Anolis sagrei: one gene and its partner. The protein of the gene in region 1 interacts with the protein of each later gene in a pairwise test. Links are inferred from orthologs where the notes say so. Each region holds a gene or a part of one and is shown on either strand. Other genes may lie near its edges.

Region 1 (9,855 bases):
TAGGTGGGCTGGGGATTGTATGAGCCACAAACCAGCCAAAGAAGAAACAGAAACAAATTGACACCTGGTGATCACCAAGATCACTAGTTGGGCAGCATCTTAATCAGGACCAGTGAAAATGCAACAAAAGTGTGCAAGTTTTTGAGTTTACCATAACTGTTCATCAGTTTTTACTATCTTTATTTTTGTCCCAACTCGCCCAGTGAGCACTTTGGTAGAAGACAAAACTTTTGTACTGTTTGATTGCTCTAAACTTGATCCAGGAAAGATACTGTCCAATTGTGTATTGTCTCCTCATAGAAAATCATTAGTATTACAAAATTATGATTTAGAAACTAAGAGTCTCCACGATCAGTGGAGACTCTTATAATGCCGTTCAATGCAGTGTAGTTTGGGCCCCTGACTCTAGAGACCAGGCTTAGAAACCCAATGGTCAGACCACTACACCATATTAAAAATTGCATGATAATAAATGTTGTGTGAATACTAGTTAAAATATTGTTAAGATATATTAGGACTATTGCTCAGCATCCTACAGTCGTTCTATAATTTCTCATATGCCTTTGGTAAACTGTCAGTTTCATTACACGAAACCACACAGATTTGGGAGAAGGGATTACTTTTTAGAACGTGATCTCACCAAGATTTTCAACTTACTTGCAAATATTCACCTAGCAATTGCTCCCTATCACTTTTTCTGATCCCGAAGCTATATGTTTTGGTCATGCATAGCACTGTTGTGTCACATGCACAACAAAAGCAGCAGTGGCAGGTTTGGGGGAACTCCAAGCTTTGTAAAAGTCCTAAACAACATCAACGCATTTGTATTTCCACCCAAAGAACAGGAAACACACTTAATAGTCGTTGCTGAAAATACAGTGCCCTGCCTTTGGGCTTTCCAGATGTCTCCGATTGCTCTTGGTAAGAACAGAGTTCAGTGCCATCGGGCTTTTGGTGTGATCCAGCACTGGTCTTCCAAGGCTCAGCTCTGGCACTCAGCTTCCAAGACTCTGGCACAGCTGTACCAGGAGCTCCAATTTTGTTTGCTTTGCATCGAATGTTTGTTTGTAGTCCTAAGTTTCAGAGACTCTGCAGATAGGTGGCTTCTTTTGGTTGCAGTTATAGGGCAAGCCACCTGTCCATCATCGTTGAGTTTGGTCCCGCCCCTTGCTCAGGGCAATTGGGAAGGGAAGGGGGCCATTTTTCTGTTAGTCTCAGCTAGGAAGTCAATGTACAGGACGTGTACAGACTTTCTCCTGTACAAAGGCTTCAACCCTTACGACTTCCCGGGGGAGAACAGTCTTAAGAGCATCTAAAGATTCCCAAAGGTTCCAGGGAAACAGCCTTACAGCCCTGAGGAATTTCGGAGGGAATAACAGCTTTAAACACCAAGAACTCCAGCTAAGTGACTACAGGCCTACTGGTACGTCCACTCGGTTTTGAGACGCAGTTCAGCCCGGTAGTGGACTCACATCAGTCAGGCTTAGGTTCACAGTTAGCCTGGGAGGAGCTAGAAAGGGATTTTTCCTTGAAAGTAAAGCAAAGAAACAGTTAGAAGCCACCAGTTGTTTGAAGTCTGGAAGCATTTGTTTAATCTTTGAAGACAAAAGAAGTTTCTGTTTAATTGTTCATCAATAAAAGACTTTGTTGTATTTAAGCTCAAGCCTTCTAAAGACTGTTTAATGGGGGCAAATTCTCTAAGGGCTTCTCTTCGGGCCCCTTGGCTTCCCGTTGGGCTAAAGTTGCACATCCTGTTTTAAAAGCACTTCGTTTCAAGCCCAGTGGCGACAGAACACACATACTAGTTGACAGGAAGAAAAACTTCATGCTTTTGAATGACACATTCCTACATACAGAAACATCTGGGCTTCAACATTATAAGTGATACCCTCCATTCTCTGCTTTGAAATATTAGAAATGCTATTGGTACAAGTATTAGTATCCATAATCTAGTACAGAGCTGTCCAAACTATGTTGGCTGCAGTGTGTAGGTGTGTCTCTCAAACGTAATGAGAAACGTCTGGATCCATGTGAAATAAACAATAAATCATATATTTTAAATATATAAATGAAACATTTTCATGAAATATGTTGTGACTCCAGACATGTTGTTATCACAATTGATGTATGCATGTGTTTCTAAAAGTCTTGTCAGGGGCGGCTGTGGTTTTTTAATGGATTTGACTAAATAGTTTTTAATACTAATGATGTTTAATACTGTTTTAATATTTGTATATTTGAAATTATATTGTAATGTTTTTAATATTAGCCACTTTGAGTCTCCTTGTGGAGAGAAAAAGCATGATATAAATAAACATCATCATAATGATTTGTTTCTTTAGACCCCCTATAACCAACTGAACATACTGGAGGGGATTGGGGAAAAATTACCTTGATTTTAGAGAGTTGTAGTTTACTCGCATCTAGAGGAACTGTGACCTCCCACTACCACCGCCACCACCACCACCAATTATGGACTGTGAATAAAGGCAGAGTTTGGGAATGATTGACCTTGATCTCTGGGAGTTATAGTTCACCCACATCCAGATAGCACTGAACCCAGCCAACAACGAATCTGGACCAAACTTGGCGGACAGACCCAACATAGCCAACTGTGAATACTGGTAGGGTTTGGGGAGGATTGATCCACGATTTTTGGATTTTGAACATCACACCAAAAAAATATGATTTTGGTGGAATTGGAATTGAGCCAACTCCAAAACTCAAGGTCAATGGACACCAAACCCTTCTAGTGTTTTCTGTTGGTCATGGGAGTCCCGTGCGCACGGGACTCCCATGACTAACAGAAAACACTAGAAGGGTTTGGTGTCCATTGACCTTGAGTTTTGGAGTTGTAGTTCACCTACATCCAGAGATCGATGTGGAATCAAACAATGATGGATCTGGACCAAACTTGCCGCAAATATTCAGTATGCCCAAATATAAACACAGATGGAGTTTGGGGGGAAATAGACCTTTACATTTGGGTTACTGGGATTTATAGTTCACCTACTATCAAAGAGCATTTCGAACCCCAACAACGATAGAATTGGGCCAAACTTGCCACACAGAACCCTCATGACCAACATGGTGATCTTTGGTGATCCCTCTGACACCCCCCCCCCCCATGCCCAGGTTGAGAAATGCTGTGTTAAGACCATCCAGTCAAACTCCCTTCACCAGGGCAAGAAAACATAAAGCCTTCCTGATAAAGAGCCATCCAGCCAAAGATATAGATAGATATATATGATTCACACACATATGTATATGACAGATATAGTATCATAGATTTGAAAGGGACCCCTAAAGAAGGACAATTATATGTTGCATGTTCCAGAGCAGGCAAACCAGACAATCTCTAAGAAACAACTCTTTATTCTTTCTTTTTCTAACTTTGCTATTTGAAAATTGTTCTCACACTTTCAATGTTTTATCTTCTTCAATTAAAGGCACAATAAAAAATTAAAAATGATAATGAAATAACAACAACAACAAAAAGAAACAACAAGAAATGCTGTTTACCTACAAGCATAAAGAAATTAGAAACATTACCAACCAACACTTTCTCATTACTTTATTTTCCAGATCACCAGACTGGGCCACAGCAACACGTGGCAGGGGGCGGCTAGTATATTATATGAAAGAGGGGTCTAGCCCAGGCATGGACAAACTTGGGCTGAAGATGTCATTTCATTACTGGCTGCTACTTCCCGACGGCTACCAGGTGGTGCAATACCAACTAAATAGTATAATTTCTCTAACGGTGTAGGGTCAAGACATCCTGTGATAGTGCAGCATGTCTCATTAAGAGCCACATCCACTGTTTTAATGTGGAAAGATGCGTTCCATACTGGGCATGCATACTCAGCGCAAGGGCCAATGTCTTCAATGTGCCTGGTTGTGATTCCCAGCTTGTGCCAGTCAGCTTTCATACAATACTAGCCGTCCCCTGCCACGCTGTGGCCCAGTCTGTTGATCTGGAGAATAAAGTAATGAGAAAGTGTTAGTTTCTAATATATGTAATTTCTTTATGCTTATGGGTAAACAGTATTTCTTGCTTTGTCTTTGTTAGTGTTGATGTGGAGAGTGTCTGGTTTGCCTACTCTGGGACATGCAAGATATCATTGTCCTTCTTCAGGGGTCCCTTTCAAATCTATTATACTATATCTGTGTGTGAATCATATCTATCTATCTATATCTATGGCTGGATGGCTCTTTGTCAGGAGGACTTTGATTATGTTTTCTTGCCCTGTTTTATTTTTTTTATTGTGTCAGGAGCGACTTGAGAAATTGCAAGTCGCTTCTGGTATGAGAGAATTGGCCGTCTGCAAGGACATTGCCCAGGGGACGCCTGGATGATTTGATGTTTTATCATCCTTGTGGGAGGCTTCTCTCATGTCCCTGCATGAGGAGCTGGAGCTGATAGAGGGAGCTCATCCGCCCCTCCCTGGATACGAACCTGCAACCTGTCGATCTTCAGTCCTGCCAGCACAGGGGTTTAACCCACTGCGCCACCGGGGGCTCCCTGGTGAAGGGAGTTGGATTGGATGGCCTTAAGTATTTTCTGTTGGTCATGGGGGTTCTATGTGGGAAGTTTACCCTGATTCTGTCGTTCGTGGGGTTCAGAATGCTCTTTGTTGGTGAACTGTAAATCCCAGTGACTACAGCTCCCAAATGTCAAGGTCTATTCCCCCCAAACTCCATCTGTGTTCATGTTTGGGCGTATTGAGTGCTTGTGGCAAGTTTGGTCCAGATCCATCATTGTTTGAGTCCACAGTGCTCTCTGGATGTTAGTGAACTACAACTCCCAAACTCAACGTCAATGCCCACCAAACCCTTCCAGTATTTTCTGCTGGTCATGGGAGTTCTGTGTGCCAAGTTTGGTTCAATTCCATCATTGATGGAGTTCAGAATGCTTTTCGATTGTAGGTGAATTATAAATCCCAGCAACTACAACTCCCAAATGGCAAAATCATAATTTTTTGAGTGATGGTCACTCCTTGTGTTGTGAGACGTTTTGCTGCCAAATTTGGTGTGATTTCGTTCGTTGGTTCTTTTGTTTTTAAGCTATTCATTATGCACAGAACATCTTTATATATATAGATTGTTTCTAGAACTCCCTTTTGGCTTGATATTCAAGCAGTGCTTCTTGTAGGTCAGAGCACGGTCCAGGGTAATTCCCAGATATTTGGGTGTGCTGCAATGATAGTCAAGCAGTGCCTGTTTGGTGAAGCAGAACCATTGTTGTACAGAGAGGGCTGCACAAACGCACAGTTCCTGTTATGCAATGAGCCTTGGCAGTGAACTGCATTCCTCCTGATGTATACTGAAACTCCTTTTGACAGGCTGTGATGCTTCTGACATCATAAAAAGCAGCTTAAATAATGTTGTTAGTAAACATGCCCCTCAAAAAAACAAAGCCAGTTAGAAAGGCCTGAGCACTGAGCAGGCCCGGCTTCGGTTGCCTAGCAACTGAGGGCAAACAAGATGCCGGCAGCAGCCTGAAGCCTCCTTTAGGAAGGGTGGGTGAGTCTTTTGACAAAAGCCTCTGCCTCCAATGAGTTTGCGCTCTCTCTCTCTCTCTCTCTTAAGGTGCATCTACACTGCAGAAGTATTGCAGTTTAGGTGGCTCACTGGTAGGAAATCCTAGGGATTGTAGCTTGGTAGTGCAGCTGCAGTAGTCTTAGGCAGAGAATGCTAAAGGAGTTCCCCACAGGCCTAGGCCAACGTGGGCCATTCTTCCAGGTGTTTTGGACTTCAACTCACTGGCTGTTAGGAATTGTGGGAGTTGAAGTCCAAGACATCTTGGAGGGCCCAAGTTGGCCCAGGCCTGGTATAGATGTGTGTGTGTGTATGTGTACACATACATACATACAGAGGCGGCCCTAGGAAATTTTCATTGGTAAGCAAACAGCATTTTGCCCCCCCCCAACCAATCACTGATATATATATTCTGTTCATCATAGGAGTTCTGTGTGCCATATTTGGTTCAATTCTATCATTGGTGGAGTTCAGAATGCTCTTTGATTGTAGGTGAACTATACTTCCCAGTAACTACAACTCGCATATGTAAAGGTCTATTTTCCCCCAAGAGCACCTCAAGAGCGCCCCTGGGCAAAATCAACTATACTGCAAATGCTTACTTTGCGTAATGGGTTGAGCCGCCCCATTACGTCTCCTGTGTGTGTGTGTGTGCGTGTGTGTATAGTGCAGTTCAGTGCATTAAGCTGCATTATATTTTTTGTCTGTTTGTTTTATTTACGACATTTATATGCCGCCCTTCTCACCCCTAAGGGAAGTCAGAGCGGCTCACAAGATATATATACATACAATATATTATATTATTAGCATAGTACAATATCAGTATTAAATATTACTATATAGTACTATACCATTGTATTGTAATATTATTAGTAATATTACATGTAATATAAATATATAATAATAATAATATCATATCATTATTATATTATATTAATATAATAAATATTATATGTATATATAATATAATATATTATATTATATTACATTATATTATATTATTAGCATAGCACAGGAGACAAGATGGGACTATCCCCTGGCCCCCTCTCTCTTCACTCTGGCCCAGAGCAGCAGTTGGTGTTGGGGGGAGGGGTCCCCAACTGATGACATATGCAGGAGACAAAATGGGACTGTCCCCTGGCCCCCTCTCTCTTCACTCTGGCCCAGACTGGCAGTTGGTGTTGGGGGAGGGGTCCCCAACTGATGACATATGCAGGAGACAAGATGGTACTATCACCTGCCCCCCCCCCTCTCTTCACTCTGGCCCAGAGTGGCAGTTGGTGTTGGGGAGAGGGGTCCCCAACTGATGACATATGCAGGAGACAAGATGGGACTGTCCCCTGGCCCCCTCTCTCTTTACTCTGGCCCAGAGTGGCAGTTGGTGTTGGGGGGAGGGGTCCCCAACTGATGACATGTGCAGGCCCAGAGCGGCAGTTGGTGCTGGGGGGGGGGGGGGTCCCGAACTGATGACATATGCAGGAGACAAGATGGAACTGTCCCCTGGCCCCCTCTCTCTTCACTCTGGCCCAGAGCGGCAGTTGTTGATGGGGGGAGGAGGGGTCCCCAACTGATGGCATATGCAGGAGACAAAATGGAACTGTCCCCAGTTTGTCCCAGGCCTGATATAGATGTATATATATAATGCAGCTCAGTGCATTATCTCCCTCTTTCTCCCTTCCTCCTTCCTTCCCTTCTAGCCTTTTGTCCTTTTTTCCTTCCCTCTTTCCTCCTTCCTTCTCTCTCTCTCTCTGAAAGTGTATGTCAACTGGGGATAATACGCACATCTGGGGAAATGGACCCCATACATTTCTCTTCATACATTTAGTGCCATAAATGCCAGACAGAAAGGGATGCCAAGTTCATTTCTGACCCCATCAGATGTATTATAAGATCAGATGTATTATAAGAGTTTTATTCCATCAAAAGTTAGCATTGCCCCCATTGTGTTCAGTTCCAAGTTTCACATATTGATTGCAAATTTCAGTACATTTTCTCTTCCTGCATCCCTAGTATATGAAACTGTGTTCAAGATAAACCATGACTTCGCCTCTCTCTTCTCTGGGGAAGGTTCGTAGAATGCCACTTCAGGTGCAGAAAACTGGGTAAGTTGGAGCTTGTTTGCACACTTCTATGGGCCACTAATACCCATAGCTCCCAGGTTATAATGGTTTATGGAGGATCCTGCCTTCATTGATCAAGATGGCTTCTGTGCACATTCCAGGTTTGACTCTACTGCATAATACAAATCGCATCTCAGTTGAAACTAGACAGAGCTTTGAAAACATGCCTCATTGCACTGTAGCTCTCATTATCCTACAGCCTAAAAAACTAGTTCCACAGAGTAATCTGTGCCATGTTGACAGGGGATTGTGTTGTTTGTCATCCACTTCTGGGGAAAGGGCAGAGTATAAAGATAATCATTATTATTATTATCATATCTAAAAATGTAAACTTTCTAGCCTCTGCACTCAGTTAGGGGGCAGTTAGTTTTCACATAGCTTAGAGCAGGGGTCCTCAAACTAAGGCCCGGGGGCCAGATGCGGCCCTCCAAGGTCATTTACCCGGCCCTCACTCAGGGTCAGCTTAAGTCTATAATGACTCAAAAGCACACAACAACAACAACACCAACCCTATCTCATCAGCCAAAAGCAGGCCCACATTTCCCATTGAAATACTAATACATTTATATTTGTTCAGATTGTTCTTCATTTTAAGTATTTCATTGTTTTTAATTTTTTTGCACTACAAATAAGATATGTGCAGTATGCATAGGAATTCATTCATGCTTTTTTTTTCAAATTATAATCCGGCCCTCCCAACAGTTTGAGGGACTATGACCTGGCCCTCTGTTTAAAAAGTTTGAGGACCCCTGGCTTAGAGAATACAATTATGCTGCGGAAAAAGGAAGGAAAAGGGAAGAGGGGCCGACCAAGGGCAAGATGGATGGATGGCATCCTTGAAGTGACTGGCTTGACCTTGAAGAAGCTGGGGGTGGTGACGACCAACAGGGAACTCTGGTGTGGGCTGGTTCATGAGGTCACGAAGAGTCGGAAGCGACTGAACAAATGAACAACAACAGATTTCACTTACTTTGCAGTTTGAAGTGGAGATGAGCACCACTCCCCAGAATTGGACTCAACCAGACTTAATGTCAGGGGGAACCTTTACTTTTACTATACTCACATCATCAACTAACTAAAGAACGTGTTTATTGTGTGTCTGAGATGTAGCTTCCTCTTTTCTCTAAAAGTAAAGACTGCTATGTTTCAAATACACCAGGTTGTCAGGAAATGTAGGCTGGAGTATCAAAATGGATTCATTTTAGAATAAGTAGAATAACTAATAATATTTGGGTTCCAGACTGGTAAGATATTAAATAAATAACCTAAACAAATAAAAAATTAACTATAAATATATCCTGTTTTCTTCTGGATTTTAGGAAGAAGATTGTACACCTCAAAGAAAATATCCAGAAAGGTAGGAAACAAGCCCTTTATCATCATTTTGGTGGTTTGTGTATATTGGTTAATTACATTTTACTAGTTTAGATCCCCAGCGATGCCCAGTTTTGGACTTTTGTAACAATAAATATTAATAAATAAACAGTCAAGGTGTTGTCGAAGGCTTTCATGGCCGGAATCGCTGGGTTGCTGTCAGTTTTCCGGGCTGTATGGCTATGTTCCAGAAGCATTATCTCTTGACAGTTTGCCTGTATCTATGGCAGGCATCCACAGAGGTTGGCCAGTTGCAGCATTCACACTTGCTTCAAACAGATGGGAGTTTTTTATTCCACTCTGAACATTCCACAGATATATAACCCCCACTTGCCCAGTTTCCAACAGACTCCACAACCTCTGAGGATGCGTGCCATGATGTGGACGAAATGTCAGGAGAGATCGCTTCTGGAACATGGCCAGACAGCCCAGAAAGTAGCCGCTCTCTTGATTAAAGGTGCATATGGGTCTTTGGATGTGAGTGGAGTACAACTCCCACCATCCTGAGTCAAACCATTCAACCACCACCACTATTTTGTCATGACAGGTATATGTGCCAAGTGTTCACAGATAAGAAATTATAAACAGTTTCTTGACCAGGCATCGATAGCATGGAACTGAGCTGTGGTTCACAGTCCAGGAAGGCCCTGAGGTTTAGGCAATCGTATATGCATTTACTGAGACTCCATCTACACTGCCATATAATCAAGTTTCTGCAATGTAGACTTAACTCAGCTCTGGTTCAGAAAGTTCATCCTTTGTTAGTGAGACGGGGGTTAAACAGACTGTATGTTTTAAATGTCCATTGCCTTAAGATTTG
Region 2 (9,675 bases), on another chromosome or scaffold:
AGTAATGCTGCAGCATGGGCAAAAAGGCGATAGTGGCATTTGTGAAAAACAGACAAGCAGACCTAAAAATGTAAAGTGCTTTGGAGGATTCTCTATGTATGCACATACCTATACTCTACGTATACAGGTCTGGCAGAAGGTTAGAACAAGTATAGATTTTATTTTAGGGTTGAAGCAATTAAGTCTTTGTGGGCTTTGATGCTGCTCTTGGTCTGTTCCTGATATTCTCTGCAATCATTTGTAATTGAGGAGGAGGAGGAGGAGGAGGAGGAGGAGGAGGGGGTATCGTGTTCAATAACAGTATGATATATTTCATAATAGACTCGTATAACTGCATTACAGGCAGTCTCCAAGTTATGAACAAGATAGCACAGTGAGTATGCCAAAGCCTGTTAGTGTTTGTTTGCCCCAGTGAGAGAGTGCCTCAGTCAGTGCGAGGAGGCTTCCCTGCGAAGGAGGCCTCACAGAATGACAAAGCCCTGGAATGAGAGAAGCTCCCACGTGAAGGCTGCTGCGTGCAATGCTACTGTGTAACAGAGCCTAACGTTGGTTATGGGCCCAGTACTCAGCTTAAGCGGCTGAGGGGGGAAAGGAAGGGGCCCGAGGCGGTTGGGAATGGTGGGAGTTGGAGTCCAAAACACCTGAAGGGAGGGCGGGCCCAGATTTGCCCAGGCCTGGTTTGTTGTTGTTTATTCGTTCAGTGGCTTCTGACTCTTGGTGACCTCCTGGACCACCCCATGCCAGAGCACCCTGTCGGCCGTCACCACCCCCAGCTCCTTCAAGGTTAAGCCAGTCCCTTCAAGGATCCCATCCATCCATCTTGCCCTTGGTCGGCCCCTCTTCCTTTTTCCTTCCTTTTTCCCCAACATCATTCCCTTCTCTAGGCTTTGCTGTCTCCTCATGATGTGGCCAAAGGACTTCCTCTTGGCCTCTACTCTCCTTCCTTCCAGTGAGCAGCCGGGCTTTCTTTCCTGGAGGATGGACTGGTTGGATCTTCTCGCAGTCCAAGGCACTCTCAAGACTTTCCTCCAACACCACAGCTCAAAAGCATCTCTCTTCCTTCGCTCAGCCTTCCCTAAGGTCCAACTCTCACATCCGTAAGTGACTCTGAAGAAAACCATTGCTTTGACTATGTGGATCTTTGTTGCCAGTGTGATGTCTCTACTCCTTACTCTCTTATTAAGCTTGACCATTGCTCTCCTCCCAAGAAGGAAGTGTCTCCTGATTTCCTGGCCACAGTCTGTGTCTGCAGTAATCTTTGCGTCTAGAAATGCAAACCCTGTCACGGCCTCTACCTTTTCTCCCTCTATTTCCCAGTTGTCAATCATTCTTGTTGCCATAATCTTGGTTTTTTTTAATGTTTAACTGCAACCCAGTTTTTGCGCTTTCTTCTTTCACCTTGATTAGAAGGCTCCTCGGCTCCTCCTCGCTTTCGGCCATCAAAGTGGGATCATCTACATATGTAAGGCCTGTTTACCCTCCATTAAGTGGCTGAGGGGGAATAGGAAGGGGCCCGAGGCTGTGAGGAATGGTGGGAGTTGGAGTCCGAAATACCTGGAGGGAGGGAAGGAGGGCCCAAGTTGGCCCAGGCGTGCCATGACCTCTTTCACCATCAGCAAATGCTTAGAAAGCCCAGAAAAAGAGACTTTGAAGACCACCAAAGTCTAGATGGAAGTCAACAATATTATATTTTTTCCTTTTTTAAAAAAAACAAAACATTTTCCCCTTTTTCTCTTCTTATATATATATATATATATATATTCTATTTCCTATATGTTCTGGAACAGCTGTTCCAGGAGCTCCAATTTTATTTCTTTGGGTTAAATGTTGGTTTGCAATCCCAGGCTTGGGATTTTGCAGCAGGGTGGCTTCCTGTTATAATTTGCATTCATAGGACAAGCCACCTGTCAATAACAGTTAGGTTCCCTGGTCCCGCCCTTCTTTGAGTTTTTTGGAGGGAAGGGGCTATTTTTCAGCCAGTCTCAGCAAAGGAAGTCTATGCAGAGGATGTACACAAACGTCCTCCTGTGCAAAGGCTTCGTCTCTTAAGACTTCCCGGGGGAGAACAGTCTTGAGAGCCTCTACAGATTCCCAAAGGGTTCCAGGGAAACAGCTTTACAGCCCTGAGGACTTCCGGAGGGAATAACAGCTCTGCTCATCTCCAGCTAAGTGACTACAGGCCTGCTGGTACGTCTGCTCGGTTCTGAGACGCAGTTCAGCCGGTAGTAGACTCAAATCAGTCAGGTTTAGGTTCACAGCAGCCTGGGAGGCGCTAAAAGGGGGAATTTTCCTTTGAGCAAAGTTTATGAAGATAGTGCCTGTTTCCTGTAAACAAGATTGCAAGAGCTAATAGACCAGCGATTCTCAACCTGGGGGTTGGGACCCCTGGAGTGGTCACGAAGGGGTGTCAGAGGGGTCACCAAAGACCATCAGAAAACACAGTATTTTCTGTTGGTCATGGGAGTTCTGTGTAGAATGTTTGGCCCAATTCTATCATTGGTGTGGTTCAGAATCCTCTTTGATTGTAGGTGAACTATAAATCCCAGCAACTACAACTCCCAAATGTCAAGCTCTATTTCTCCTAAACTCCACCAGTGTTCACATTTGGAAATATTGAGGATCTGTGCCAAGTTTGGTCCAGATCCATCATTGTTTGAGTCCACAGTGCTCTCTGGATTTAGGTGAACTACAACTCCAAAACTCAAGGTCAATGCCCACCAAAACCTTCTCGTATTTTCTGTTGGTCATGGGAGTTCTGAGTGCCAAGTTTAGTTCAATTCCATCATTGGTGGAGTTCAGAATGCTCTTTGATTGTAGGCGAACTATAAATCCCAGCAACTACAACTCCCAAATGGCAACATCAATACATCCCCCCCCCCCCCCCCCCGCAAACTCACCAGGTATTTGTGCCACATTTGGTCCAGTAAATGTAAATACAGTAGCAAAATTACAGTTTTGAAGTAACAATGAAAATAATATTAAGGTTGGGGGTCACCACAACATGAGGAACTGTATTAAGGGGTCGTGGCATTTGGAAGGTGGAGAAACACTGTAATAGACTGTTAAGCCTGTTTGTTCCTTAATAAAGAACTGTTATATTTAAGCTCAAGCCTCATAAAGACTGCTTAATAAGGGAAATTTTCCTAAAGGCTTCTTTTTGGGGCCCTGGCTTCCTGCTGGATGCAAGCCTAACATCCTCTCTTAAAAGCACCTTCAAACTACAAGAAAGGAGATTCCACCTGAACATGAGAGTTGTTCAGCAGTGGAACTCTCTGCCCAGGAGGGAGTGTGGTGGAGGCTCCTTCTTGGGAAGCTTTGAAACAGAGGCTGGATGGCCATCTGTCAGGGGTGATTTGAATGCAATATTCCTGCTTCTTCACAGATTGGGGCTGGACTGGATGGCCCACCAGTTCTCTTCCAACTCTTTGATTCTAGGATTCTATGATTCATTTCGGCTCCAGCGGCGACAGAACACTATATATACATAAAATCCAACCAATGCTCCATTCAGCAAAGGACAAGAGGGATCCTCTCACCTCTGCAGGAGTCTACCATTGTATACCATGCAGCTGTGGACAAGAAGTCTACAGAGGGACCACCACACGCAGCGCCATTGCCCAGACACGGATCAAGGAACACGAAAGACACTGCAGAGTAACTCAACCAGAGAAGTCAGCCATAGCAGAGCACCTGAGGAACCAACCTGAACACAGCAGATTATTTGAGAACACGGAAATGCTGGACCACTCTCACAACCACCATGTCAGACTACACAGAGAAGCCATTGAAATCCACAAGAAGCAGGTGGACAATTTCAACAGAAAGGAAGAGACCATGAAAATGAACAAAATCTGGCTACCAGTATTAAAAAACTCTAAAATTACAACAGCAAAACAACAGAGAGGAAACAACCAGGCACAGCTTAACACCTCCCAGCAACAGATTTTCCCAGGCTCAGGCAGGCCTTCAAATGCTAATGAAGGTGATCAGTTGAAACATTCACACCTAGCTCCAGCAGACAAGAGTCCTTTGCCCCACCCTGGTCATTCCACAGATATATAAACCCATTTTCCTACTTCCAACAGACCTCACTACACTGCCGATTCAGTTCCGAGCACAATTCAAGGTGCTGGTTTTGACCTACAAAACCCTGTACGGTTCCGGTCCAGTGTATCTGTCCAAACGTATCTCCCTTTACGTCCCACCCCGGACTCTGAGATCATCTGGGGAGGCCCTGCTCTCGACCCCACCACTCTCACAAGTGAGGCTGGTGGGGACGAGGAGCAGGGCTTTCTCAGTGGTGGCTCCTCACCTGTGGAACTCACTCCCGGGGGAAATCAGGGCAGCACCATCCCTCCTCGCCTTCAGGAGGAGGGTGAAGACGTGGTTGTGGGACCAGGCCTTTGGGCACCTTGGCAATTAAATCAGACAATCAGGCGAGTAAGACCAGCAGGATTGATGAAATGGAATGTAAAATTAGATCAATGAGCGAAACGCTGACCATGTAAAAGGAGAAATTGGGTTTGTATTTGTTTTTATTGATTTTATTGATTTTATGATAATTAATGCATGCACTTTGTGAATTATATTATGATATGATGTAAGTTTATGTATAATTGTTTCATGATGCAGGCATCGAAGGGTGCCTTTGCTTTTGTAAGGCCGCTCTGAGTCCCCTTCGGGGTGAGAAGGGCGGGGTAAAAGAACCCCAAATAAATAAATACCTCTGAGGATGCTTGCCACAGATGCAGGCGAAACGTCAGGAGAAAATGCCTCTAGAACAGGGCCATATAGCCCGAAAAAACCCCACAAGAACCTAACTATATATACACTTTTTTCCTCTCTTTTTGCCTTTTTTATATACTTGGACCTTGATATTCCTACTTTCCTATCCAAACCAAATATGTTCCCCCACTTTCGAGGTTATATATATATTTTAATCCTCCTAATAAAAACATTTTTTTTTTTAAAAAAAAAAGGGAAATCCTGAGCCAGTGCCTCTTGCTTCCCTCCCTGCCCTTCCCTCCCCCGGCCACAAGGGGCGCTGCGGCGCCGGCCCTCAGGCGAGAAGGGGCGGTGCTAGACTTCCTAGAAGGGCTTTGTTTACCTTCCGCCTATGGAGAGGAAGCGACGGTTGCTTAGCGACGGGAGGAGGAGGAGGAGGCGGGGAGATCCCAACCGCGGCCTGTTCTCGTCCCGAGAGGTGAGCGGAGCCCGGCGTGGGCTTGAGGCGGGCCTTCCCACCCGAGGCTTCCCCAGGGGACGCGCCCCTCTTCTCTGCTTCCCGCTGGGCCCTTCCACACAGCCACATAACCCGGAATATCTGCTTAGAACCGGGTTCCCTGAGTCCACATTGCCACATAATCCGGTTCAAGGCAGATAACGTGGGATTGGATTCACCTGCGTGGAAGGGGCTTCTGTCTTCACGAGAGGAAGTATTCATATAATTATCATTGTTACAAACTTGCAGAATCTTGGCTTGTGGGAGGTTTTGGGGCCATGTTCTAGCAGCATTCTCTCCTGACGTTTCGCCTACATCTATGGCAAGCATCCTCCGGATGCTTGCCATAGATGCAGGCGAAACGTCAGGAGAGAATGCTGCTAGAACATGGCCCTATAGCCCCAAAAACCTACCACAACCCAGTGATTCCAGCCATTTATTTATTTATTTATTTATTTATTTGTCGTGTCAGATCAACCAGTCAATTATATTACATTTCTAACAGAACAAAGCAAACAAACAAACAAAACACAAAGTTTGCAAGCTTGGTAGTTGATTAAATGTCCTTTGACCAGTCTCTGTCCCCTTGGAGTGCTTCTGGTGTTGCCGCAAGGAGGTCCTCCCTTGTGCATCATGTGGCAGGGCTCAGGTTGCATTGCAGCAGGTGGTCAGTGGTTTGCTCTTCTCCCCACTCGCGTGTCGTGGATTCCACTTTGTAGCCCCATTTCTTGAGGTTGGCTCTGCATCTCGCGCAGTGTGTTCAGCACCTTCCAAGTCGCCCAGTCTTCTTCTGTGTGCCCAGGGGGGAGTCTCTCATTTGGTATCAGCCACTGATTGAGGTGCTGCCACTTTTGGACTCTCGCTTGCTGAGGTGTTCCAGCAAGTGTCTCTGCAGATCTTAGAAAACTATTTCTAGATTTAAGTGGTTGATGTGCTGGCTGATACCCAAACAGGGGATGAGCTGGAGATGTCTCTGCCTTGGTCCTTTCACTATTGGCTGCTACTTCCCGGCGGATGTCAGGTGGTGCAATACCGGCTAAGCAGTGTAATTTCTCCAGGGGTGTAGGGCGCAGGCACCCCGTGATAATGCGGCATGTCTCATTCAGAGCCACATCCACTGTTTTAGCGTGGTGAGATGTGTTCCACACTGGGCATGCGTACTCAGCAGCAGAGTAGCATAGTGCAAGGGCAGATGTCTTCACTGTGTCTGGTTGTGATCCCCAGGCTGTTCCAGTCAGCTTTCGTATGACGTTGTTTCTAGCGCCCACTTTTTGCTTGATGTTCAGGAAGTGCTTCTTGTAGGTCAGAGCACAGTCCAGAGTGACTCCTCCCAGGGATTTGGGTGTGCTGCAATGCTCCAGGGGTTCCTTCCCAGGTGATCTTCAGAGCTCAGGATGCTTGTCTGTGTTTTAGATGGGTTGGGGATCATCTGGTTTTCCCTGTCATAGGCAGTAAGGGCACCTAGAGCTTCGGAGAGCTTCTGTTCTACCATCTCAAAGCTCCCTGCTTGAGCAGTAATGGCACGATCATCAGCATAGATGAAACTCTCTGTCCTTTCTGGCAGCCATGAAAGCCTTCCACAATTACAGAATCTTGTACTGTACTGGTTTACTGTACTGGTTACTGGTTACAGCAAACAATGTTGGCTTGCTTACTTAGGTGATCCCTCATAGTCCGAGGAGGATGGTCCTCCAAGTATAGTGTCCTGGCTGTGGGTTCGTAGGTGACTGTGGAGCCCTATTCTTGACCTGCATCTTCTCCCACAGTGAGGGCATTGGATTCCACATGGAAGAAGGTCCCAGTCAGGGTTGGCTTAATGTGCCTCCTTCCTCTTGGCATGTTTCTCTCTTTCACCCTCCATTTGTGCCTCTTTGAATTCTGCAGCACTGCTGGTCACAGCTGACCTCCAGCTGGAGCCCTTAATTATTATTATTATTATTTCCGTCACTTTTACCCCGCCCTTCTCACCCCCGGGGGGGGGGGGGGGGACTCAGGGCGGCTTACAGAGGAAGGCACAATTCGATGCCTTTATCACATATACATACATATATAAACAAATTAAACAATTACAAATTAAAAATTAAAATCATCAATACACATTAATACAATAACACAGCAGTAGGTTAATCCTGAGTTCAGCGTTCGAAGTTTCATAAGTCCATTCCATCTCGACAAGTTCCAGCTCGTCATTAGGTTTTTCTTTAGCTGCCCGGGTGTCCAAATGCCTGGTCCCATATCCAGGTTTTCAATTTTTTCCTAAATGAAAGAAGGGACATTGCCGATCTAATTTCCCCGGGGGGGGGGGGGGAGTTCCACAGGTGGGGGGCCACCACCGAGAAGGCCCTGCTCCTCGTCCCGGCCAACCTCACTTGTGATAAAGGCGGGGTCGAGAGCAGGGCCTCCCCAGAAGATCTTAGGTTCCGAGGTGGGACGTAGAGGGAGATCCGTTCGGACAGATACACTGGGCCGGAACCGTATAGGGTTTTATAGGTCAAAACCAGCACTTTGAATTGTGCTCGGAATTGGATCGGCAGCCAGTGGAGCTGACACAACCGGGGGGTGGTGTGCTCCCTGTATGTCGCTCCGGTGAGCAATCTGGCTGCCTCCCGCTGGACCAGTTGGAGTTTCCGAGCAGTCTTCAAAGGCAGCCCCACGTAGAGTGCGTTGCAGTAATCCAGTCGGGATGTAACAACAGCGTGGACCACCGTGGCCAAGTCCGACTTCCCAAGGTACGGTCGCAGCTGGCGCACAAGTTTTAATTGTGCGAAAGCTCTCCCGGCCACCGCCGAGACCTGGGGTTCCAGGCTCAGCGATGAGTCCAGGATCACTCCCAAGCTGCGAACCTGCGTCTTCAGGGGGAGTGGAACCCCGTCTAACACAGGCTGTAACCCTATGCCCTGGTTGGCCTTACGACTGACCAGTAGGACCTCTGTCTTGTCTGGATTCAATTTCAAGGCTCCCAGTTCTCGGTGTCAATGCCAAAGTTGAGCCCATCTTTCAATCTCTTTTCCTGCCCACCAACATTCCGTTTTCCGTTCGGAGTAGAGCAACTGCTTTGGGAGACGGTAGTCGGGCATCCGGACAACGTGGCCGGTCCAGCGGAGTTGATGGTGGAGGGGCATCGCTTCAATGCTGCTGGTCTTTGCTTCTTCCAGCGTCTGACATTTGTCCACTTGTCTTCCCGGAGTTGATGGTGGAGGACCATCGCTTCAATGCTGCTGGTCTTTGCTTCTTCCAGCATGCTGACGTTTGTCCGCTTGCCTTCCCAAGAGATTTGCAGGATTTTTCAATGGCAATGCTTATAGAATCGTTCCAGGAGTTGCATGTGACATCTGTAGACAGTCCACGTTTCACAGGCATACAACAGGGTTGGGAGGACAATAGCTTTATAAACAAGCCCCTTGGTCTCCCTACGGATGTCCCGGTCCTCAAACACTCTGCTTCATTTGGAAAAATGCTGCACTTGCAGAGCTCAGGCGGTATTGTATTTCGGTGTCAATGTTGACATTTGTGGAGAGGTGGCTGCCAAGGTAGCATTGGCTTAGCTCTCACTACAAACCACCCTTCTCCAAGAACCAGGGACAGTGTGCCCACTCTTTTCTGTTGAGGCCGAGCAGGAGGTGGAATCTGCGGTCAGAGTATCTTTGGAGGAAGCGCAGGGAAGAAGAAAGTCGCTCTTCCTGACTGCTTCTGTGCCAACTTGGTTCTATTGGCAGGTTACTTTTCCAAACTACGACCCACCTAAGGCCCTAAGATCTTTTGGGGAGACCCAACTCATTGTTCCCCCATTGTCGCAATCACGTCTGGTGAGGACAGGGAACGGGGCCTTTTCTGTGGTGGCCCCTCGGCTATGGAACTCCCTCTCAATTGAAATTAGATCTGCTGCATCCCTCTTGACCTTCCGGAAACAAGTGAAATCCTGGCCATGGGATCAGGCCTTGGTAGATTAGGGTGACTTGCTGACTTGACAACTTTTACAGAACTGTCTGACTCCCCCTCGGATGATGATTCAAGCTGACTGTGTGTTTTTATATTGTTGTATACTGTTTTACACTGTGTATTGTTATACTGCTGTTCAATTATATATTTATGTTTCTGGAATGGGCACCATGGGATGCCAATTTGTAAGCCGTCCTGAGTCCCTCTGCGGAGGTTGAGAGAGGGCGGGATAGAAAAGCCCCAAATAAATAAATAAATAAATACATAGGGTGCCTGGCCGCAGAGTCACAGCAGCTGCGGCCTGTTTGTTGCTGGCAGGATTCCCGGGCTTTGTGCCTGGCTCTGCCCGGTGGCAAAGCGCGGGGCGTCACTCCCTTTTGGAAGGCACGCAGGAAACGGCTGAGAGGTTTGGAACCAGAGGGCTACAGAGCTTCTCTTACTACCTGTTTCATTAAGCTCCATTTCAGCCCAATTACATTATTTATTTATGTATTTATTTACTATATTTGTATACC

The links. The genes of interacting proteins can lie anywhere in the genome.
Region 2: the proteins of UBXN11 (region 1) and ENKD1 interact in binary tests that used the Homo sapiens proteins (3 or more experiments, as listed by UniProt). The two-hybrid records come from large-scale screens. The link is inferred for Anolis sagrei from reciprocal best matches to the Homo sapiens genes UBXN11 and ENKD1.

The regions. Positions count from the first base shown.
Region 1 is NC_090034.1:73,866,438-73,876,292, forward strand, and holds the start of UBXN11 (UBX domain-containing protein 11), read left to right. Parts: upstream 1-5,464; 5' UTR 5,465-5,522; exon of another isoform or gene 5,523-5,526; intron 5,527-7,551; 5' UTR 7,552-7,578; coding exon 7,579-7,643; intron 7,644-8,980; coding exon 8,981-9,018; intron 9,019-9,855. UniProt on the Homo sapiens protein: May be involved in the reorganization of actin cytoskeleton mediated by RND1, RND2 and RND3. Promotes RHOA activation mediated by GNA12 and GNA13.
Region 2 is NC_090028.1:44,003,383-44,013,057, reverse strand, and holds the start of ENKD1 (enkurin domain-containing protein 1), read left to right. Parts: upstream 1-5,127; 5' UTR 5,128-5,203; intron 5,204-9,675. UniProt on the Homo sapiens protein: Microtubule-binding protein which regulates microtubule organization and stability. Promotes the stability of astral microtubules and facilitates the proper orientation of the mitotic spindle.